Linked DNA regions of Macaca fascicularis. The protein of the gene in region 1 purifies or fractionates together with the protein of each later gene. This does not show direct contact. Links are inferred from orthologs where the notes say so. Each region holds a gene or a part of one and is shown in the gene's direction. Other genes may lie near its edges.

Region 1 (5,875 bases):
CCATCATTCGCTTTCTCTACCCCACCTCTTGCCTGCCTTTTCAGATAGGTGTGTTTGACCAGGTCCCCCTTCTCTTCTCAACATCCCCCATCAATCTCACTTCTCCCAGTTTTCATTGAAATGTCAGTGGTGTCCCCCGAGTCTCTTAAATCATTCAATTTCTACTTCCTCTGTCCTTTTTTCCTTTTAATACACCATTTAGCACACCATCTCCACTCACCTCCATGTCCACACCTTCAATTTCATTCAAATCAGGAGCCACTTCTGTTCAGTTTCTCTAAAGCTGAGCTTTCAAACTCTCCTGCCAGCTATTTCTGCGTCATGTGAATCTTTATGTTTCTCTGGTTCTTGTAGATGCTCCTTTATCTGACAGTAACCTTATTTGTCAAATAAAGGTGACAATAACATGATTATGCTGTTTTGGCAATTCAATTAAAAAAACACATGTAGGCTGCCAAGCAAACCGCCTGGCTGCCAGGAACTTCTCAGCTAACGTTAGGTGGACGCCTTGCCCTCCTCTGGGCTGCCCTGATGGTTGTGGTGTTCAGTTATGTCTCCAACTCTTCCTTCTAACCAGGCCTTCCCCTCTCACTGGCTTCCCACACAGCAGCCAAGACTCAGCCCCACTGGCGCCATCCCTGCCCCGCTTTCTCCAGCACCCCCGAGGCCTGAGCTGGAAAACAGGCACTGGGCCACACTTGCCTGAGCAGGACCTTTTCTACCTTCTTTGTGATATTATCCAATTCCTCCACCATAGGGTTACTTTTTAGTCTCCAGCAAGACAATGTTAACCCACCAAGCCTTCTGTCTCCGTTCTTCTCATACAAGTCAACTTTTTCAGTATTATTAGCTCATCAGAATGATGACTAGAATGTTGAGTTTAGTCCCCCATGAATCCATTCATTCCTTGGTTCCTTGATTCTACATTTTAATATGTACGATGTATATTTATACATATTACATTTAGTTACAGGGCATCGTATTAGATACCACACACAAATTATACTCAACACTCGGTTTATAAAAGTACACCTAATAATTTTTCAAACTAGAGGTTTCTTTCTCATGGAACACCCCTCAGTCAAAGGAATATCTTTTTGTTCTGAAGAATGGAAACATTCTGAACTCAGTGACTCACTGGCTTTTGCTTTTGCTTGTGGGGTATGGATAATTCTGTAAGAGGAGAGTCCTGCCACCTTAGACCTCAGTGGGGACGGTTAGGTGTGCATGTGCTTCATGTGCTGTGTGTTCCAGGGCTCCTGAAAACTGTGGTTGCCTTTACCCCCTAGATTCAGCTGTGTCCCCTCCAGTCCGGGATGTTGCGATGAATTCCCCAGCTCTGGTCCTCCCCAGCTCTGCTTCCTCTACTCCTGGCTCAGAAACGGCCATAATCCACAGAAAAAATGGTAAATATGGCAACTAAAGGGCCCAGGGACTGATGATGGAAAGTGATTAATGCAAATAATCTTTTGTTGTCTCTAAACATATTATCTGTATTTACAGAGTTTTCTCTGCATGCCCCGAGGCCTTTAGCCCTACTCACTGCACCTTCTGTGGCTGCCTTTCTTGCCATTGTTCATCCTCCTGTAGTTTTCCTACTGCTGTTTATGCTTCATTGCACCATAATCTCTCCATTCTTGAAAATGTTCTCTGTATCCAGCTTGATTTCCTTGTCTGTGTCTTCTCTACCCAGAAACTTATTATTTATTATAATTTGTCCTATTTCATTGGCCAATAAGAAAAAATTGTCCCCTGGCAAATTTATCATTAAGAGATGATGTAAGAAAAATTACAAAAATATAGAAGCCAGAAGATCTCTATGGTCTTTGCCCCACCCTTGTACATTCCAAGGCTTCCTTTCTTGTTCCCAGCCTCTTCCTTTTCTTGTCTCCTACCTCTTCTGAGTTGGAGCAAACCTAGGATATCATTATGAATAACAGAGGATTCTGTTGTGTTGTTATTTTCTTTTCCAGGCTTGGGTTTGGATACTTCTCCAGTAATGAAGACCCCTCCCAAGTTGGAGGGTGATGCTACTGATGGCTCCTTTGCCAATAAGCATGGCCGCCATGTCATTGGCCACATTGATGACTACAGTGCCCTGAGACAGCAGATTGTGGAGGGCAAGCTGCTGGCCAAAAAGATAGTGTCTCTTGTGAGGTCAGCGTGCAGCTTCCCTGGCCTTGAAGCCCAAGGCACAGAGGTAATCACACCTGTAGCTTTAGATGCACTGTTTCCTTGTGCCCTTTCTTCCTTTGATGGTAACTCCTTCTCCCACCATTTTTGTTTTTGTTTTTGTTTTTCGTGCTTTGCATCTCTCAACAGCTGAGGCTTCCTCTTCCATGTACAGCAGCCAGACCCTGTCTTCTCTGTCTCCTATTTTCACTGTCAGTTCTGCTCTGTTCCAGATGTAGCTGACTGGATATTTCCCCTCAGCCCCACAGAAACACGTGGCATTGCCTAGCAGCCTTTGGGAGCTTTTTTTTTTTTTCCTCTTTTCTTGTTTTTATTATTATACCTTAAGTTCTAGGGTACATATGCACAATGTGCAGGTTTGTTACATATGTATACATGTGCCATGTTGGTGTGCTGCACCCATTAACTCGTCATTTACATTAGGTATATCTCCTAATGCTATCCCTCTCCTCTGCCCCCTCCCCACAATAGGACCTGGTGTGTGATGTTCCCCTTCCTGTGTCCAAGTGATCTCATTGTCAAGTTCCCACCTATGAGTGAGAACATGCAGTGTTTGGTTTTCTGTTCTTGAGATAGTTTGCTGAGAATGATGGTTTCCAGCTGCATCCATGTCTCTACAAAGGACACGAACTCATCCTTTTTTATGGCTGCATAGTGTTCCATGGTGTACATGTGCCACATTTTCTTTTTTTTTTTTTTTTTGAGACGGAGTCTCGCTCTGTCACCCAGGCTGGAGTGCAGTGGCCAGATCTCAGCTCACTGCAAGCTCCGCCTCCCGGGTTCCCGCCATTCTCCTGCCTCAGCCTCCCGAGTAGCTGGGACCACAGGCGCCGCCACCTCGCCCGGCTAATTTTTTGTGTTTTTAGTAGAGACGGGGTTTCGCCGTGTTAGCCAGGATGGTCTCAATCTCCTGACCTAGTGATCCGCCCGTCTCGGCCTCCCAAAGTGCTGGGATTACAGGCTTGAGCCACCGCGCCCGGCCATGTGCCACATTTTCTTAATCCAGTCTGTCACTGATGGACATTTGGGTTGATTCCAAGTCTTTGCTATTGTGAATAGTGCCGCAATAAACATACATGTGCATGTGTGTTTATAGCAGCATGATTTATAATCCTTTGGGTATATCCCCAGTAATGGGATGGCTGGGTCAAATGGTATTTCTAGTTCTAGATCCTTGAGGAATCGCCACACTGTTTTCCATAATGGTTGAACTATTTTACAGTCCCACCAACAGTGTAAAAGTGTTCCTATTTCTCCACATCCTCTCCAGCACCTGTTGTTTCCTGACTTTTTAATGATCGCCATTCTAACTGCTGTGAGATGGTATCTCATTGTGGTTTTGATTTGCATTTCTCTGATGGCCAGTGATGATGAGCATTTTTTCACGTGTCTGTTGGCTGCATAAATGTCTTCTTTTGAGAAGTGTCTGTTCATATCCTTTGCCCACTTTTTGATGGGGTTGTTTGTTTTTTTCTTGTAAATTTGAGTTCTTTGTAGGTTCTGGATATTAGCCCTTTGTCAGATGAGTAGATTGCAAAGATTTTCTCCCATTCTGTAGTTTGCCTGTTCACTCTGATGGTGGTTTCCTTTGCTGTGCAGAAGCTCTTGAGTTTAATTAGATCCCATTTGTCAATTTTGGCTTTTGTTGCCATTGCTTTATGCAGGCACATGACCATCTGTGGGCAGAGTTGACACAATGGGGTGGACAGAAACTGAAGGATTTGCAGGTGTATGGCCCCCACATGTGGAAGGGGTGAGAAGCCTGGCAGCCATGGCATTTCCTTGTGCAGACTGCATAGAGGGAGGGAAGGCAGTCAGCAAAGCTTCTCAGAGCGCCTTGCCAGTGAGAGAGACCAGGCACCAGGGCTGTGCTGTCTGAGCTGCTGGAGACCCATGGATGCGTAGGGACAGCCCTGCCTCCACGGAACCCCACACTAGAGGGCAAGACACACACACAAGTAGATCAGCACAGTAAGGGGCTACAGACACAGCATGAGAAGCCATCCTCTGTGCTGTGAGGCCGCCAATGCAAACGTGGTCATTTATCTCAGGCAAGGAAGGTAACAGGTTCATAGAGGACACAGCAAGGGGGGTGAGTTTTGAAAGCCTTGTGGGTTCTGCAGGTGGAGGGAGGCATACCTGGTAAAGGGACCAGCACCTTAGTTCTGAGAGCTGCAAATGGTTGTGCGAGGGCTTCACAGTTCAAGCAGGCCCATGTTCTGTGCCTCACTCACAAAGGAAGCGGGAGCCCATGCAGGGGGAAGAAAGTAATCTCTCCGCTTCTGTGGTGTTACCTTTCCCCAGGTGATGGGCAGCAAAGGCATACATGAGCTTCGGAGCAGCACCACTGCACTGCACCATGCCCTAGAGGAGTCGGCTTCCCTCCTCACCGTGTTCTGGAGAGCGGCCCTGCCAAGCACCCACATCCCTGTGCTGCCTGGCAAAGTGGTAAGATGCCAGTGTCCTTTCTTGGTTTGAACCCAGTTTTCCTGCCCTCCAATACTGTTCTGTCTCTTCAGTGTCACAGCTTTTCCAGAAAATCGGGAGCCACATAGTGAATTGGGATAGACAGGACCTTAGAGGAGTGTCCCTGGAGGGACATCTCTGACCCATGGTGGCTGCTTTCATTGCAGCTGTAAATACATCCCATTCCCCACCAACCCCCTGGCCCCTGGATAAAAAATCAAGAAGAGGAAGGGGTGTGGAGAAGGCGGAGACATCATAACCCTGGCAATCCATAAAGGTTCAGTTTCTTTACCTCTCTGAAGTTTGGCTGAGCTGAAATTCAGTTAAAGCTTCAGCACCCACCTCCCACCCCTCAGGTCCCATGGTCACATGATCACAGAATGCCCCCATGAGACTGAGCCTTTTCAGCCGCTGCCTGGAATTCCAGCATATCACTTCAGCTGGCATCTCTGGACCAGGCCTGGGGAAAGTCAGCCACTCCTCAGGATCTGCTCAGAGCTCAGGCTAACTCTGATTGGCAGACCCTCGAGGAGACAGGTTTCAGGATCCCCTCCCCAGGGATCCCAGCTCCAGATCAATGTCACCAACACCTTTGGGATCCAGCTAGGCTCATTCCAGGGAGACGGTGTTTTGCCATCTCCATATTGGCACAAATATTTACAAACTTGCAAACTTTCCTGAGTCCAGATCTCTCTCCCGAATGTATCATTTCTGAACTTGCCTGTGAAGGGAGTGACAGAACTGATATCAGGACTAAAGCAAGGTCCTCTTCAGAGCTGGGAGTTTTATTCCAGCCTGAAGCGAAATTCTCTTAAGCTACAGGTGTGTGGGCCTGTGCTAGTCTACATGGGGAATTCCAGAGTCTCAATATTCCTACCTAATGGCCTCATCCTAAACTGTCCTCAGCTGGAGGTATCTGAGGCTGTGAAGGAGGAAATCCAGTTCAGGAGGGTGGAGAAGATTGTAGAATCCTTCTTGGAATTGGAAAGAGCCACAAAGCACAGGGTGCTTTAGTCCTTCTGCCTGTTCAGTAAGAGTCTGTTCCTCTTATCCAGGGAGAATCAACAGAAAGGGAACTTCTGGAACTGAGAACCCAAGTATCCAAACAGGAGCGGCTCCTTCAGAGCACAGCTGAGCGCCTGAAGACTGCGAACCAGCAGAAGGAGAGCATGGAGCAGTTCATCGTCAGCCAGCGTAGGTTCCCTGAGAGGGAATG
Region 2 (6,516 bases), on another chromosome or scaffold:
GGTGATTGGGGGTGTCCTGGCTCTATGGGAGCAAGGAGAGGGCATGTCAACAAGGGTTGACGTTCCTCTTTCTGCCCCAGCTCCAGCGGAACATCTTGGCCTCGAACCCCCGGGTGACCCGCTTCCACATCAACTGGGACAACAACACAGACAGGCTGGAGGCCATAGAGACCCAGGACCCCTCCCTGGGCTGCAGCCTCCCACTCAACTGCACTCCTATCAAGGGCCTGGGCCTCCCTGGCTGCATCCCTGGCCTCCTCCCTGAGAACTCCATGGACTGCATCTAACTGCAGGAACCCAGTGTCCCAGCACACCAGGAGGGGCAACCAGGCCTCCCAGCAAGTCCTGCAGGGCCCATCTAGAGGACTTTGGGGGCCATCAGCTGCATCCAGGTCTGTCAAACTCAGCCCCTAGGAAAGAACAGGCCTCGGGACTCCTCTAGTCCTGGCCAGAAGGATGATCTCGCTTTTCTTGTACAGGCCTATAAGAAGCAGGTACTTCAGTTCTAAATTCTTTCTGACTTGTGTTCTTTTCGTCTTCATAAATTCTACCTAAGGCCATTGTGCCACTGTGCACCCCTGAGTACCACTGACCCAAAGCTTTCCGACAGACCTCCCTGGCCTGCCTAGAGGCTTTCTTGGTCAGTGCCCGTCAAGGCTCTGGTCCTGCTGAGCCAAAGGTTCTGTCATTCCTTTCTCTTCCCGTTCACTGAGCAGATCCACTCCAGCTTTCTGGTGTCACAGGCAGGAATCTTGGTTAGTAGGTAGACTTAGATCCCATTTCTGTCCTGCTCCCAGGAAGATTCTTAGGTCCTCTTCAATCCAGCAGCCCCTGGAAAACTCTGCTCCCAGAGGTGTGATCAGCAGGATGCTGAGGAACCATGTTGCCTTTCCTGTCAATCATAGCCACCTTCCTGTTATCTCCTAAATGGATCTGGCTTTTTCTAGTTGGAAGATGGTGTCAGAGGGCCTGCCTGCGCAGTCTGTCTCTGGGTCGGGGTCAGGGACCCTCTGCTTCTGGCAGCCTTAATCTTCTCTCTGCTAGGACCAGGGTGATTTCAAGCCAGGGAAGCAACTGGGACCCTGAAAACCATCCCTCCCCAGCCTGCTCTCCCTCTCTGTGCCCTGGTCCCCTTGCTGCCATGTGGATGCTGTTGTGATTGCTGTTTGTATATTATTAAAATGTTTTTATATTAAAAATGTTTGGTTGGTCTGAAAATTAAAAGCACTTGGTTTAGAATGATTGTTTGTGCTTTTGTCTTGTGTGGACTGAAGCAACTTTGTCCACTCTCCCCCAGAAGTGGTCTCATGACCTGTCCAGTGGGTGGGCTGTCCCATGTCTTCTTCCCAGCTTCCTACTCCAGTCTTAATTGGTTCTACAGTATTCCAGACTGAGGTTCCAGAAGAGGTTTTTGTCAAAATTTAAGCAAACCAGCTGTCCTGCAGATAGATTATAATCAGTGATTTTTCAGACTGCCCTTGACCCACAGGAAGAAATTAACATCGTGATCCCAACACACAAACAGCAATGCTTTTATTAAATTTTACTAAACCTTAACCATGTAACCATCCAGAGGCCGAGTGGTCAGCCATTTTCGCGTAATTCACAGAAAGGCTCTGACTCTCCCTCCCTGGAACCATGGTTGATCTGGGAACATGGGTGCAGACAGCGGCTGGAGAGGGCGTAGGCTGTTCAAGTCTAAGCAGCAGATCGGCTTGCAGTTGAGCCCAGCTAGCCCTTCCGTGTCAGGGTGACCTGACTTCTCCCCTCCCCTGACCCTCTCTTAAGTGCTTCTCAATCAGGAGCAGTTCGGCCCCGCAGAGCACATTCACCAATGTCAGGAGACAGCGGTTGCCACAGCCAGCAGGAAAAGAGGAGGGGCTACTGGCATCCAGTGGGTACAGGCGGGGGATGTTGCTCAACACCCAGTGGTGCGCAAGACACCCCCAGCAGAGAATGATCCAGCCCCACTGTCAGTAATGTCGCAGTTGGGAAACCCCGACTGTCCTCGGCTAAGTGTGTACTGAAAGAGGATCCCGAAGGAAGGGGCAGGTTCCCTTTGCATTGCCGACAGGAAATACAGACGGGGAATGGGAGCAGGGAATCTGCCTGGCTGTACCCCAGATTCCTCATCTGTGCAATGGGAGTGATGATGGTAGCACCTACGCGATGGGAGTGTGGTGCGAAGGAGCGTTAAGTGGGTGCCAGCTCTTACTACTGGCAGCCCAGGGCTAGGACCCAGCAAAGGGGTGGACATTGAGCGCCCCTTCCCAGCCACTCCTTGCGCCGGGCCCGGCATCCTCCTGACTGCGGCTGGGAAAACCCAGGAGGCCCCGCGGCCTGGCCCCCAAGCAGGCCTGGCCACGGCTGCCCAGCGCCAGGCCTTATGAATGACGCCGGCGGCGGCCGGGCGACCTCTGACCCGCGCGCCGGTCGCGCCCCTCCCCCGCTGGCAGGTGGTCAGCGGCTGCGCCGGGCAGGCCGCGGCGCCAACCCCGGCTGGCCGACAGCCGCTGCCGCACTGAGCGGGGGCGGGGGACTGCGGCGCGCGCGGGGCCGGCCGGGCGCCCGCCGGGGCCGCCTCCTGAGCCTCGGAGTGCTGCGCGGCCGCCCGCCAGCCTCCGCCGCCCCGCCCCGCCGGCCCGGGCCCGCAGACTGCGCCTCTGCCCCGCCCTCTCACCCCCGGATTGACACTGAGCGTTCTGCTGGGGGCTTGTCGAACAGGGCACCTCCGCCAATCGGCGGCCTCGCGGGGCGGACCCCGGGCCCAGTCCAGCGCCTCGGCCAATCGGACGCGTCTGCCCGCCCAGCTGCGGCCTCACGAGCGCGTGAATGGCCGAGAGTCCGCGGTGACGTCACGAGATTGAGAGCCTATAGCGGCGAGAGAAGGTCGCGGGAGGGCCAATGGGCGGCGGCGCGGAGCCGTCAGTCAGGGCGGCCTAGGCCAATGAGCGGCGGGCTGCGGGGGCGTCACGGACAGCAGCAGAGATCTTGGGCTGAGGTTCCCGGGCGGGCGGGCGCGGAGAGACGCGGGAAGCAGGGGCTGGGCGGGGGTCGCGGCGCCGCAGCTAGCGCAGCCAGCCCGAGGGCCGCCGCCGCCGCCGCCCAGCGCGCTCCGGGGCCGCCGGCCGCCGCCAGCACCCGCCGCGCCGCAGCTCCCGGACCGGCCCCGGCCGCCGCCGCCGCGATGGGCAACGCCGCCGCCGCCAAGAAGGGCAGCGAGCAGGAGAGCGGTGAGTGCCCCGGCCGTGACCCCGATCCCGGCCCTGCGCTGCCAGTCCTGGCCTTGTCCATCATCGCCTGGCCCCTCCCCCTACGGGGCCCCCCCATTCCTCTCTGCCTACCCCCCAGCGCCCCTTGCCCCGGCCTGTCCAAGGCTGGGGCCCGCGGGCCCGCAGAGTACCCCCTGTAGGGGTCCCCTTCCCCTAGGGCCGCCCCACACTGCAAAGACCGTGCTCCCCCCCAGCTGTCACTGCCAACCATGGCACGTATGACCGCTGGGGCCCCACATGGGGCCCTGTCACCAGCCTACCCCCTCCTTTCCTGGCCCCTCTCCCCAGATTCTAATCCCCCCACTTCCTCACTCACTTCTGTCGCCTATGGGATCCTCTGCCTGACCCCGACCCATGTTTCTGCCAGTTTGGGAATGCGATGGGGTCTGTCTGCCTCTACCGCGCAGGGACCTTGGCCACTTGGTGACCACACCCCTCCCCCCTCCAGCCCCCGCCATCTTTCTCCTGCCCTTCCCCTCTTCACCTTAGCACAGCCCCCGCTTCCAAACCCATCCTACCCCCCTGAGCATTTCCCAGAGCCACCTCCAGCATTGTTTTTTTCTTCTGTGTCACTTGGCATGGGGGACAGGATCTTTCTGGGTCCCTCTGCCTCTCTCATCCTGTCACTGTGTCATTCTGCTTCTCTGCTTGGGCTCCGTCCTCCAAGCAAGCGTCTGTCCCTGGCTGGGGTAGCAGACTGTTTATGAACGTAGAGAACTGCTTCAGTGCTTCCAAAGCCAAGTTTGAGCTGGTCTTGTTGGGATTCATTGCGTCCTCTTTCCTGCGTTGGGGTAGGGGGGTGGTGGCAGAGCCCCCTCGCATTTCCTGCCTTGCAGTGAGCTCTAGGCTCCATGGAGGGCCCCTCAATAAATGGTCGTTTCACAACTGAGGCTCCGTCATTCACCCAGTGCCTGGGGCTTCTTCCACCGCTCCTGGTTTGGGATGAAAAGTGTCTGCGTTTAGCGAGGTTCATTCGGTTTTAATTGGGATGGTCAGAAAGAGCACTGGGGAGGGGGAGGCAGTCAAAGAGAGTAATGGGTGATGTCTAGTGATTTGCTTTGATGTCTAGTGATTCTGATCATTCCCAGGGCTCAGCCAGAGAGAGACCTTTTTCACCCACTTGCCCCCAAATTATGTTGGCCTTTTCCAGCCAGCCAGAGAAAGAGATTCTCTATCTGGAAATACCATCAGAAATGGTCTTGAACCCCATTCCCAATTCTTATAGCTCTTAAATTGTTGTCACGTCAGTCTGAAAGCTGGAAGGCGGCTGGGATCCCCTGTCCACTTACCCAGAAATAGTCAGAACTATTAGTCGAAAAGGAAGGCCAGTTTTTGGTCTCAAACCCCAGCATCTGAGTTCCCTGACTACCCCCTCCCAGAAAGGTATGAAAGCCAGGGAACTTTATTCCTATACGGATTCAGATAGCAGAACTCAGAGTTACAGAGCAATCATGAAGAGGCCTGACATGTCACCAATGGGCGGGGGCCGGGGAGGGAAGTGCCTGTAGCTGAGTGCTTGATGACAGAGGAGCAGGTGGGTAGTGTCCAAAAAAGGTCTGGGCATGAGCTTGGAGGGGACTTGGCAGAGGGGGAGGAGTCAGGCCCCCAGCAGGTGAGGCCAGCTGGGAGGTGGAAGGTGGAGGCAGGCAGCTATGTATTACGGTGGCTCAGTTGAAAGTTGGGGAGATGACAGTCCTGGAAAACCTTCAAGGCTATTAGACACATGTGGTGGCGGGTGGAAAGCTGCACAAGAAAAAGGATCCTAAGAAAAAGATCAGAGGCTCTGGAAGGAACCACTGATTCTCTCAGAGCACAGGTCAGACACCCAGGAATGAATGATCACGGTAAAATAGAGCTACTATTTGTTGGGCATCTAGGCTGTGCCACAGGCTAAATGGCCAGGCAGATAGATATATCTACTCTAGTGACTTTCATAACGGGCTGTTATCCAAATTTTCCAAAGGAGCCCTCTGGCAGAAATGACAGCCATGACATAGATGATGTCACAGAGGCAGGATTCACATCCAGATCCACCTACCAGCAAACTTCTTGGACCCCAGAATTTCCCGACTCTGACATTTTTCAGCAGCCTCCCAGATTTTTACTCTATCATATTTTCTTAATTTAAAATAATAAAAATTTTACTCACTTCTGTTCAGATGTAAACTTGGAGCTCATTCTAAACAATAATATAAATGAAATCATGGGATTGCTATGCCAGTTATATTTTCTCTGATACACATTAAATACAGTGTAACTAGATAAATGAAACATCCCGAAAATCATGTCATGTTCTGCCAATGGGACCATGTCACACTTTGAGAAACGCCCGAAGCTGTACTTCCTCCCAGAGGCTTCCAGAGAAGGAAATAAGATGAGGAAGGAAGTCCCTCTTTGCTTTGAGGCGCTCTGATTCTGAGAGGATAGAGTTGGACAAAATTTGCCTTCTTACAAGGGTGGGGCAGGGGCGGGGGCAGTAGCCAGGCCAGCCTGCAGGGGGCACCTGGATTTCATCTGCCAGACGCCGGCCCGACTGGGGTCAGGAAAATGCCCAAGCCTTGGGAGGCACCAGTTAAGCATCCTGCAGTCCCCTGTGGTACCATCTCTGCCAGGGCAAGACAGACTCCGCCTCCTCCCAAGAGGCCAGGGATCCAGAATGAGCCCTGGAGTGGAATGGGGAGAATCTACACCCAAAGATGGCAAAGCCATTGGGAGAGCTGAGAGGGCCGAGAAAAAAGACTAAGTCCCAGATGCTGGCCAGGTTCGAAGAATGGAGAGGGAGCAGCGGCCCCAGAGGGCAGGCGCCCAGGTCAGACAGCCAAGTGGGGCTCAGGTCGTGGCTGGCACTGACTGAAGATACCCCTGGGAGCTGGCCCATAGGGGAAGAGGCAGAGCTGGTAAAAGGGAGCCCCCCCCCATCCCCGGGACACAAGCAGATCCCGGCAAAGAGAGAAAAGCACCCCCCAAGAAGACGCTAGATGGGAAGAACTAGTGCCATGCAACATCCTATGGATGCCTAAGACGGCCAAACACGTTCTGTGCCTTGGCAGTTGTATGGGTGCCCAAGAGGGTCTTGTCAAGGTAGTGCTCCCCTTAGCGCAACCACGTCTACAGAAACTTGGAGGGTCCTATCTGTCCCTCCTCTGCACCCTAGTGGCCTCTGGGTTGGGTTTCTCTTCCTGATCCCACCCCACGTCTCCCTAGCTCCCCCTGCAGGGAGGGTTCTGGGGATGGACAGCCCGGC
Region 3 (5,875 bases), on another chromosome or scaffold:
ACATCTTAATCTGGCTTTCAGTGTCTTTCAGGATCTGAAAATCATCCTGATAGGTTTAAAAAGTGGATCTGTTTTGCATTTGCTTGCAGGTTAATTGCCTAGCCCTGGAGAGAGGCTGTGGGGGGGTACCAGAAAGAGGAGCAGACACCTCTGCCACCTGCCCACCACAGGGTGTGGAGCAAACCAGTAAATGGTTAGACTCCAATCAGTCAGGCAGCCTGTCCTCTTTGCTCTAGAGATGAAAAACAAAGGCCCAGAGAGTGGATGGGGCTTGCCCAAAGTGGCATAGCAATTAGGCAGCAGAGCTGGAACTAGAAACCATTTCCAGCTTTGACTCTAGGGCTGTTCCTAAACCCACTGGACCCTCTGGAGCCTTGGGTATCCTGGGATTATCTTCCTGACACCCATGGGGTAAATATGTGTATCCAGTGGGATGAGGAATGCCAGCATGCTTTAAAAGCAGTATTGTACTAAAGTTTGCACTTACTTTTACTTGGATACCTCTAGTTAAAAAAATAAAAATAAATCTCTTAAGGAGTACCTAGTCAGTCTGCCTTAGAACTTGTAGTGATTAGTTCATTGATTTCTCATTGACAAGGATCTTAAAATTTAACCAAAAAGATGATGTAATAATATGAAAAAAGTGAACAGAGAAAAAAAGTTGATGATTCTACACATTGATCATTTTTTAAAATTTGCATATTTCTTTTCATTTATTAAATATCGGCATGAATTTATATTTTTCAAATTGGTTTTTGTGTCATTCTGTGTCCTTTCTTTGTTTTTGTCCAATATTGCATCATACATGTTCCCTCTGCTTTCACATGGGCTTCCTAATGATTGTTTGCAGGCTATTCTTAGTCACCAGTCCATGACCCCGTTGATTATTAAAGTGGTCTCTGATTTAGAGCCATAATAGACATCAATGTTAATATACTTTTTGCTGTTAAACAATATTCTTAGGAGAAAACCCGACCAGGGGAATCTCAGAAGTTTAGAAAGGTGCCATATTTCTACCTTCTAAATGGTCTGTCCATCAGAAGTGTACAAAGGTAGTGGTTTTTGCGTGACCTCATCAGCATCGGGCATTAATATTTTTAACATGGGTCTGCACCTGGCCCTTTTTAAGGCTTTGAGGAGCTTGTGGGGGTGGGCTAGGGGAGATTGAAGCAAGGAGAAGAGTTCTGTGCTTGGGGTGCCCAGGAAGGAGCGTTGGGTAGCTGAAGCGAGGAGGCCATCAAACAGCCTTTGCCTTTGAAATTTGCCGAAAGCAGCCCTCAGCATGTGTGGCAAGAGGCATCCAGGAGAGCATTCAGAATTCACGGTGTTGCCTCAGCAGAAAAGTTTTCTAATTTTCTTGAGTCAAGATCAGAATTGTAGGCAGCAGCATTTCTTCCTTTGCAAAAGACTTCTCAGGTCTGTATTTAAGTGCATCTGTTTTTAAAATTATGTTCTAAAGGCTGATGTCTTTCGCTGAGAGTGATTCCTCTCAGGGCCAGCTCTATGGAGCTGACCTCCTGGCTCCTTGGCCTTAGGAACTGTAGCAGACCCTTGGGTGGTGCTGGAGTGCAGCAGCCCACTGCCCAGTGGTGCAGGAGCTCTGATGGGGGGATCCTAAACCCTGGGCTCGCTTGCTCTCTGCCACTGACGTGCTGGGTTATGCTGGACAGATCACTTTCTATCTCTGCCACTTGGTTTCCCCTTCCATGAAATCTGAATTACAATGTGTTCTGCCCACTGAGCTATTGAGTCCAATAGCTTTTCATATGTGAAAGTGCTTTCCAAATTATTACGTGTTGCACAGATCATCTGTACATCATCTATTGATTTTGCCTCCTTACAGTGTTGCAAATACATCACCCCCCAGATCCTATTGTGGGTTACTCTCATCTCTGGCTTAGATTAGTGTGGCAGCCTCCAGACAGAAAAAAAACTCCTCCAGTACAAAATACAGACCTCAGCTTGACATTGCGTTGCCCAAAGCCCTTGAGTGGGCCCCTCAGTCCTCTTGGTTCTGGCCTTGCATCCTACTTTGTCCTTCCCTGCCCCCTGGGCCTTGGGTCTATGAACTGCTTATTTCTCCCTGAGTGATGATTCCACTCTTCGTCCCACTGTCTGCCTCTCACCTGCCCATTGTGCTGCCTGGCATTTCTTTCCCTCCTTCTTACCACAGGTCAGTCACAGTCAGTCTTAAAATGGTGAAACCCCATCTCTACTAAAAATACAAAAAATAGCCGGGCGTGGTGGCGGGCGCCTGTAGTCCCAGCTACTCGGGAGGCTGAGGCAGGAGAATGGCATGAACCTGGGAGGCGGAGCTTGCAGTGAGCCGAGATTGTGCCACTGCACTCCAGCCTGGGTGACAGAGCAAGACTCCATCAAAAAACAAACAAACAAACAAACAAACAAACAAAAAAAACACATAAGGTTTTAAAACAGGTGTTAGCCTTTGGGAAGCCAAGTTGGGGGTAGTGCCCTCACCTGAGCCTCAACAGCCTGTGTTTTCATTAACACTAAAATAAAATTGCTTGTTTACTTTTCTGCTAAGAGTTTTTCTAGGGAACGGATTGGGCCTGGTCACTCTGTCTCCCTGGTGTCCCACACAGGTGGGCCTGGCAGGACAGAGGCCTAGTGAAGATTTGAAGGAATGCTTGTGTGTGTATGAATTAGTGAATGTGAGGGGCTTGACTGTATTCTCATTCAGTTCTCTCTTGAATGCTGACAGCAGTGAAACTAACAGTTCTCGTGTTTTGCATTTTGTAGATGGTGACAAAGATCCCATGGAAAGTGATAATTCATTTGATCTGTTTGATTCCTCCCAGGCAGTGACACCAAAATCAGGTACAAAGCTGAAGTCTGGGTAACGGTGGCAGCATTGGATGTGACAGTAAGACTTTTTAAATTGCAGAAAAGGGGGTCCCTAGTCCCACCTCAGGAGGGTATTTGGCAAGGATTTGGGATTTCAAGTTCTCAGCATCTCCAGCTGGTGATATCCTCCTTCAAGCCAGTTAATCTACTCCTAGGTGTTACCAAGCTTAGAACATCATTGGGTCCCTGTTGCCTTAGATTAAAATTGTGACCATCTTTGTGAGGCTTTCAAGGCCGCCCAGGATCCAGCTCCAGTGGGCCCGTCCAGCCTTATCCCTTACCCTGGTGTAGCCACACAGGGGTCACCATCCTGCAGACAGGCCCACACTTTCCTCTCACTGTGACTTTTAGACCCCCTTTGTCCCACTCTTTGCCAGTAAAAGTCCCATTTCCTCAAGACTCATCATGAATGCACATTTTTCTGTGACATGGCTTTGCTGCTGTCCCTGGTCAGAATGACTCATCATTAGTGTAATTCTTGCTTCTTGCTCAGTCCAGCTCAAATGCTGCTCCTTCTCAGAAGCCTTCCCTGTTCTCTCCCTCCCTGCACAGATAATTGTTTTTCCTGGCTCTGGCCCTTCATCACTCTGCTGTTGCACCTTCCGCAGTGTCTGTGTTCTGATCAGACTGTGGGCTACTGGAATGCAGGCACCAGCTTGAGTTATCCTTGTGAATCTGGGGTCTTCTGCTGAGTGGGTGGTTGAAAAGTGTTGGTTGAGTTGACTTGAGCCTATCCTACAAGATGACTCGTAAGCCAGTGTGGGGTAATAGATAGAGGTCCAGGAGCCATGCGTCTTTTCCCCACTGGGCTTGTGTTGGGTGGCATTTGGGCACGAGGGCCTCTCCTAGCCCTCCTAGCTAGCTTCAACATCATAAGCGCCTTGAACGCAGAGTGTTACCTGAAACAGATTTTACATCCTACCTCTCATTTTACAGTTTCAGAGACTCTTCCACTCTCTGAGAATGACACGGACTCCCTCTCCTGTGACAGTGGCAGCTCGGCAACTAGCACTCCGTGTGTGTCCCGCCTGGTCGCTGGCCACCGCCTGTGGGCCAGCAAGAACGGCCGCCACGTCCTGGGCCTGATTGAGGACTATGAGGCCCTGCTCAAACAGATCGGCCAGGGACAGAGGCTTCTTGCCGAAATGGACATTCAAACCCAAGAGGCTCCTAGCTACACAAGTCAAGAGCTGGGAACAAAGGTAACCTGACCACAGAGCTGGAAGGCACAAGCTGCTCCCTGGGAGTGTCCATGGAAGGGGTAGGGGAGTCAGATGGTGCAGTTGTCCTCAGTAGGACCCTGAGAAGAGGGACTAGGAAGTGTGGCCCCAGAGAGCTCAGAGGTCAGGTCCAGTGTGGGGGACTGTGGGTGGTGGCTGTGTTTGATGGGGTTCATGCTCTGTATTCCTGCAGTTACTTCATGGGCTCTGCTGTCTTGCTCCCATGACGGCCTCTGTACATCTGGTCTCTCATCCATTCTTCTCTCCATCTGCACCCTGGTGTGTCTGTCCACTCATCTGCCCATCCACCTAGCTGTCACCCATTGTGAAGTGGAATTACTAGTTCAAAGGTTGTGAACTTTTTAGGGCTCTTGGTGATAACTGTTGCTGCATTACTTTCCAAAACAATTGTGTCTCTGTTCATGAATGTTTGTCTCACTATATTTTTGTCTTTGTTGAGGTTTTGTTGTTGTTGTTGTTGTGTTTTTTTATTTTGAGACAGGATCTAGCTCTGTCACCCAGGCTGGAGTGCAGTGGTGTGATCATGGCTCACTGTAGCCTCGACCCCACCTCCTAGGCTCAAGCAATACTCCTCCCTCAGCCTCGCAAGTAGCTGTGACCAGGCATGTGCCATCACACCTGGCTATTTTTTTTATTTTTATTTTTTAGAGACAGGGTCTCACTATGTTGCCCAGGTTGGCCTTGATCTCCTGGGCTCAAACGATCCTCCCACCTTGGCCTCCTAAAGTGTTGGGATTACGGGTGTCAGCTATCATGCCTGAGTATGTCAGCATATATATATATATATATATATTTCTTTTTTTTTTTTTTTAAATGGAGTCTCATTCTGTTGCTCAGGCTAGAGTTCAGTGGTGTGATCTTGGCTCACTGCAGCCTCCTCCTCTTGGGTTCACGTGATTCTCCTCCCTCAGCCTCTTTAGTAGCTGAGATTACAGGCACCTGCCACCATGCCCGGCTAATTGTTGTATTTTTAGTACAGACCGGGTTTCACCATGCTGGCCAGGCTGGTCTTGAACTCCTGACTTAAGGTGATCCAACTGCCTCGGCCTCCCAAAGTGCTGGGATAAAGGTGTGAGCCACCGTGCCCAGCCCAGGTATTTTTATTTATAATGACTTTTTTTTACTTTATTATCTAAAAAGGGTGTGTCTTTTTTCTCTTTTTTTTTTTTTTTGAGACAGGGTCTCGCTGTGTTGTCCAGGCTGGGGGATGTGGCATGATTGTGGCACACTGCAGCCTTGATCTCCTAAGCTTAAGCAATCCTCCCATCCCAGCTTCCTGAGTAGCCAGGACTACAGGTGTAGACTGCCACACCTAGCTAATTTTTTATTTTTTGTAGAGATGGGGGTCTCACTATGTTGCCTAGGGTGGTCTTGGATTTCTGGGCTTAAGCAATCCTCCCACGTTGGCCTCCCAAAGTGTTAGGATTATAGGCATGAACCACTGTGCCTGACCTCATTCTATTTTTGTATTTATTTTATTACTTATAAAAACAAATGCTTTTTTCATTTCTTCTTCTTTTTTTGTATTTCCCCTTTTCTGAATCACATAGATAATTTTCTTAAGCCCTTGATACCTCCCAATTTGAGTTTGCTCTGCCAGCGGTATAAGGCCGTGATATCATATTCACTACAGCAGGGCCATTTAACAGGGACCAGTAAAGACAAAACCATGTATTGTTTGCTGTTGGTGTCATTTTCTCTGGGCGGGTCTCTGTGGGCCGCCAAACCGTGAGAATGGCCCTCCCACAGACCCTGTACTTGGAGTAGTA
Region 4 (4,976 bases), about 36 Mb from region 1:
TCTGTTCCTTTTCAGTATTTACATCTCATTTCCATTTTTGTTTTATTATATATATTAGAATGTCTAAAACAATATTTTAATGCAGTAGGGCTCTTGAGCTTTCTTGTCTTGTTCCTGCTTTGAATGGAAATGCCCAAGAATATATTTTCAGGGATCATTTCTATAGTTTGTTGCCTTTCATGTTTTGCCACCAAATATAAAGTTGGCCATTTGGCTGAGATAGGTATTCTTTATCAGATTAACAAAATATTGTTGATTTCTAATACACTGTATTTTGTCTTTTTTGACATTTTAGTGTGATGAATTATATCAGGGAGACATCCTCACTTTCCTGGAATGAATACCATTTAATCATGGGGTATTAACATTTGAATATTTGCCTGAAATATATTTGCCAAAATCTTATTAAGTGTTTTTACTTCCATAGTCATAAGTTTTATTAATCTATAGTTTATGTTTTTCTGAAGTTGGGATTATATGGGATTCGTAAAATGAGTTTAGAAAGTTTCCATCCTTTTATTCTGCAGAAAATTTAGGAACATAGAGTTATCTTATATCTATTCCTTATAAATTTTAACAAACTAATTCTTGGATATTGGTCTTTTTGAGTTTTTACTTTTTGAGTCAATTTAAGAAATTTATATTTCCAATAAAATCATCCATTTCCCTTTCTAATTATCATTGCTTATATTATCTTTATTGTTGTATTTATTGTTAATTAATGCTATTTCGAGGTATATTTTTTAGATTGCCTTGAGGCTTGTCAGCTTTATTAGTATCCTAAAGATTTATGATGTATTTGCATCTTTTCATATTTATATTTACAAATAAAATCTTCTGCCAAATGGCAATCATTTACTAATCTATTCATGTTATGTATTTAATTTTTAATAATTATTCCCAAAATGGAGTAGAACTGGACTGCCACTACTCATTTAGAGTTTATGTGCTTTTCAAAGGGCTTGACTTTTCCCAGGTAATAAACAGCTAACCTACCAACAAGTGGCACACTGTAACGTACAGGTTGTAGTAATGGACAAATTGATTGACAGCCAAATCTTGATTATCGTTGAAACAGATGTAAGGATCCCTGGATAATTTACAAATAAGAATAATAGAGTACTTTAACCATTTGTTTTCTTATCTTCTCAACTATTATAACTATGCACAGCGGTGCAAAAATCATAGTAAATATGAATAGTTTTCATTGTCTTCTTTATTCTCTGATACATCTGCAAATGCATCAGGGAAGAAAAAAGGCCGAAGAAAGAAGTGGCCTGAACAACTCAAACTGTACAATCATTTTCTACATGTGATTGCCCCAATAGGTTTGTTATTCTAAATTGCTGGCTGGCTAGACATGAAGCAACTGTCTGCTTATCTCATTCTTCTGGACAGTGCAAAACAGCAGTCCCCAAAGCAGGGCATGCAAGGCAACCAGCTCTCAAACAAAAAGATAATATTAGAAGTCCCATTCCTGCTTATTTTTACCTTGTTCTTTTTCAATACCTTATTTGTGTGTATATATCTTAGTATAGTCATGCATCTAAATAATTTGTAAGTAAATAACCATATATATTGATTATGTATACTAGAAAATGTTTTACTGAAAGAGATATAAATTAAAAACCCTTGGAGAGCTCTGGGCCAGAAGTGGAGAATCATGAATTTGAAAGCTGCTTTAGCCGCTTATCCATCATGTGAATTTGGTCGACTCTTTTATAATCTGTAAAATGGGAGTAAGAACACCTGTCCTTCCTTCCTCACAGTGTTGTATTGAGAACAAAATAAAGCGACTGTAATTGTTTGTAAATTCTCTAAAGGCTGTGCAGATTATGATTTTTTTTTAACTTTTAAAATCTTTTCCTCAAACGTATTCAGTACCCACATTTAATCTTTATGGAAGACCATATTCAAAGTAGTGGGAAGACATTTTACTTTTAGGATCAAAGGAGAAAAATATTTAAGGTTTAACAATTCTCTAATTCTAAAAGAGATATGTTTCTTTCCAACCTCTCAGAAAGTTTTGATGGCCAGATATTTTAAACAAAACAAACTTGGGAATTAAAAAAGGAAAGCAATTAAAAGTAAGTCTGAGATTTATCTGTAACTTCAGGAGAAAAGAATTTTTACAAAAGGAATAGGAAAAGATAAGGTCTTAAAAACAAGGAACTAAACATTAACACTTAAGTTTTGTAACCTTAGGAGCCAGGATTTTGATGCCAACAGTTAATTATCCCAGAAATTTCTTAAGTATTTTGTTGACCTGCATACTTCCTTGAATCAAAATGTTGAGGTTAATAGCTAACCTACTGTTTGCTGCTGCTTCTAGCCCTGTTACATTTTAGGAACCTAATGGCATCTAAGGATTCCACCATGTAATAACAGTGGGAATTTATTTTTCTTGGTGTTTGAAAACTCTCAGGAATTTTTTTTTCTTTTTTCTTATTTTTCTTTCTCGGTCAATTATAGGTTGAAGCTCCATTCATACCAAAGTTTAGAGGCTCTGGAGATACCAGCAACTTTGATGACTATGAAGAAGAAGATATCCGTGTCTCTATAACAGAAAAATGTGCAAAAGAATTTGGTGAATTTTAAAGAGGAACAAGATGACATCCGAGCTCACACTCAGTGTTTGCGCTCTGTTGAGAGATAAGGTAGAGCTGAGACCGTCCTTGTTGAAGCAGTTACCTAGTTCCTTCATTCCAACGACTGAGTGAGGTCTTTATTGCCATCATCCCGTGTGTGCACTCTGCATCCACCTATGTAACAAGGCACCGCTAAGCAAGCATTGTCTGTGCCATAACACAGTACTAGACCACTTTCTTACTTATCTTTGGGTTGTCTTTCTCCTCTCCTACATCCATTTCTTCCTTTTCCAGTTTCATTGGTTTTCTCTAAACAGTGCTCCATTTTATTTTGTTGGTGTTTCAGATGGGCAGTGTTATGGCTACGTGATATTTGAAGGGAAGGATAAGTGTTGCTTTTAGTAGTTCTTGCCAATATTGTTGTTGGTCAATGGCTTGAAGATAAACTTTCTAATAATTATTTTTACTTTGAGTAGCTCAGACTCGGTTTTGCCAAAACTCTTGGTAATTTTTGAAGATAGACTGTCTTATCACCAAGGAAATTTATACAAATTAAAACTAACTTTCTTGGAATTCACTATTCCGGCAGTAAATTTTGGTAGACTAATACAGTACAGCTAGACCCAGAAATTTGGATGGCTGTAGATCAGAGGTTCTAGTTGCCTTTCCCTCCTTTTATATCCTCCTCCCCTTGAGTAATGAAGTGACCAGCCTGTGTAGTGTGACAAATGTGTCACTTTCAGCAGGAAAAACTAATGATATGGATCATCACCCAGATTCTCTCACTTGGTACCAGCATTTCTGTAGGTATTAGAGAAGAGTTCTAAGTTTTCTAAACCTTAACTGTTCCTTAAGGATTTTAGCCAGTATTTTAATAGAACATGGTTAATGAAAGTGACAAATTTTACAGTTTCTCTAATAGTCCTCATCATAAACTTTTTAAATGAAAATAAGCAAACTAAAAAGAACATTGGTTTGGATAAATACTTACACTTTGCAAAGTCAAAAAATGGCTTGGTTATTGAAAACATTATAGAGGTATTCATATTTAAATGAGGGTTTACGTTTGTTTTGTTCTGTAACCCTTAAAAAGAAGTTGTTTCCAGCTAATTATTCTGGTATACTATATTTGTGAGCCTAGGGTAGGGGCACTGCTGCAACTTCTGCTTTCATCCCATGCCTCATCAATGAGGAAAGGGAACAAAGTGTGTAAAACTGCCACAATTGTATTTTAATTTTGAGGTATGATATTTTCAGATATTTCATAATTTCTAACCTCTTTTCTGTCAGTAAACAGAATGTCTGATCGATCATGCAGATACAATTTTGGTATTTGAGAGGTTAGTTTTTTTTCTACACTTTTTTTTGCCAACTGACTTAACAACATTGCTGTCAGGTGGAAATTTCAAGCACTTTTGCACATTTAGTTCAGTGTTTGTTGAGAATCCATGGCTTAACCCAGTTGTTTTTCTGGTTTTTTCTTTACTTTTAATTTTCCCCATCTGATTTTATCTCTGCGTTTCAGTGACCTACCTTAAAACAACACACAAGAAGGGTTAAACTGGGTTCATTTTAATGATCAATTTACATGCATATAAAATTTGTTGTTTTTAATCAAGCTGATCTTAATGTATATAATCATTCCATTTGCTTTATTATCGGTGCAGGTAGGTCACTCACACCACTTCTTTTCATCTGTACCACACCCTTGTAAAACCTTTGAAGACATAAAAAAATCCTGTCTGAGATGTTCTTTCTACCAATCTATATGTCTTTCGGTTATCAAGTGTTTCTGCATGGTAATGTCACGTAAATGCTGATATTGATTTCACTGGTCCATCTATATTTAAAACGTGCAAGAAAAAAATTAAAATACTCTGCTCTAGCAAGTTTTATGTAACAAAGACATATCGTCATGTTAATAAATTTAAAACATCATTTGTATAAAATATTTTAATTTTCTTGTATTTCATTTAGACCCAAGAACATGCTGACCAATATATTCTATATGTAAACTATAAATTCTATGGTAGCTTTGTTGTATATTATTGTAAAATTATTTTAATAAGTCATGGGGATGACAATTTGATTATTACAATTTAGTTTTCAGTAATCAAAAAGATTTCTATGAATTCTAAAAAAAATATTTTTTTCTATGAAATTACTAGTGCCCAGCTGTAGAATCTACCTTAGGTAGATGACCCCTAGACATACATTGGTTTTGAGGGCTAGTCAGCCATTCCATTTTACTCTCTATTTAAAGGCCGTGAGCAAGCTTATCATGAGCGAATACGTCAAGGGAGTCGATTTCTGACCAATCAAGTACTCTAAATTAGAATATTTTTAAGGTATGTAGAATTCCCAGTTTCAGCCACAATTTAGCCAAGA

Evidence for each region.
Region 2: the proteins of PDE4DIPP2 (region 1) and PRKACA purify together in Homo sapiens (affinity purification with mass spectrometry; 5 studies listed by BioGRID and IntAct, with this or other methods). This does not show direct contact. The link is inferred for Macaca fascicularis from reciprocal best matches to the Homo sapiens genes PDE4DIP and PRKACA.
Region 3: the proteins of PDE4DIPP2 (region 1) and CDK5RAP2 purify together in Homo sapiens (affinity purification with mass spectrometry; 3 studies listed by BioGRID and IntAct, counting the BioPlex papers as one, with this or other methods). This does not show direct contact. The link is inferred for Macaca fascicularis from reciprocal best matches to the Homo sapiens genes PDE4DIP and CDK5RAP2.
Region 4: the proteins of PDE4DIPP2 (region 1) and PRKACB purify together in Homo sapiens (affinity purification with mass spectrometry; 5 studies listed by BioGRID and IntAct, counting the BioPlex papers as one, with this or other methods). This does not show direct contact. The link is inferred for Macaca fascicularis from reciprocal best matches to the Homo sapiens genes PDE4DIP and PRKACB.

Annotation. Positions count from the first base shown.
Region 1 is NC_088375.1:113,983,898-113,989,772, reverse strand, and holds part of PDE4DIPP2 (myomegalin), read left to right. Parts: intron 1-1,289; coding exon 1,290-1,406; intron 1,407-1,973; coding exon 1,974-2,200; intron 2,201-4,497; coding exon 4,498-4,641; intron 4,642-5,714; coding exon 5,715-5,853; intron 5,854-5,875. UniProt on the Homo sapiens protein: Functions as an anchor sequestering components of the cAMP-dependent pathway to Golgi and/or centrosomes.
Region 2 is NC_088393.1:14,535,241-14,541,756, reverse strand, and holds the start of PRKACA (cAMP-dependent protein kinase catalytic subunit alpha), read left to right. Parts: upstream 1-2,984; 5' UTR 2,985-3,187; coding exon 3,188-3,233; intron 3,234-6,516. Other genes in the region: histone chaperone ASF1B, read left to right, coding at 81-287.
Region 3 is NC_088389.1:37,584,842-37,590,716, forward strand, and holds part of CDK5RAP2 (CDK5 regulatory subunit-associated protein 2), read left to right. Parts: intron 1-2,760; coding exon 2,761-2,838; intron 2,839-3,801; coding exon 3,802-4,067; intron 4,068-5,875. UniProt on the Homo sapiens protein: Potential regulator of CDK5 activity via its interaction with CDK5R1. Negative regulator of centriole disengagement (licensing) which maintains centriole engagement and cohesion. Involved in regulation of mitotic spindle orientation.
Region 4 is NC_088375.1:150,408,203-150,413,178, reverse strand, and holds part of PRKACB (cAMP-dependent protein kinase catalytic subunit beta), read left to right. Parts: intron 1-2,472; coding exon 2,473-2,598; 3' UTR 2,599-4,976. UniProt on the Homo sapiens protein: Mediates cAMP-dependent signaling triggered by receptor binding to GPCRs.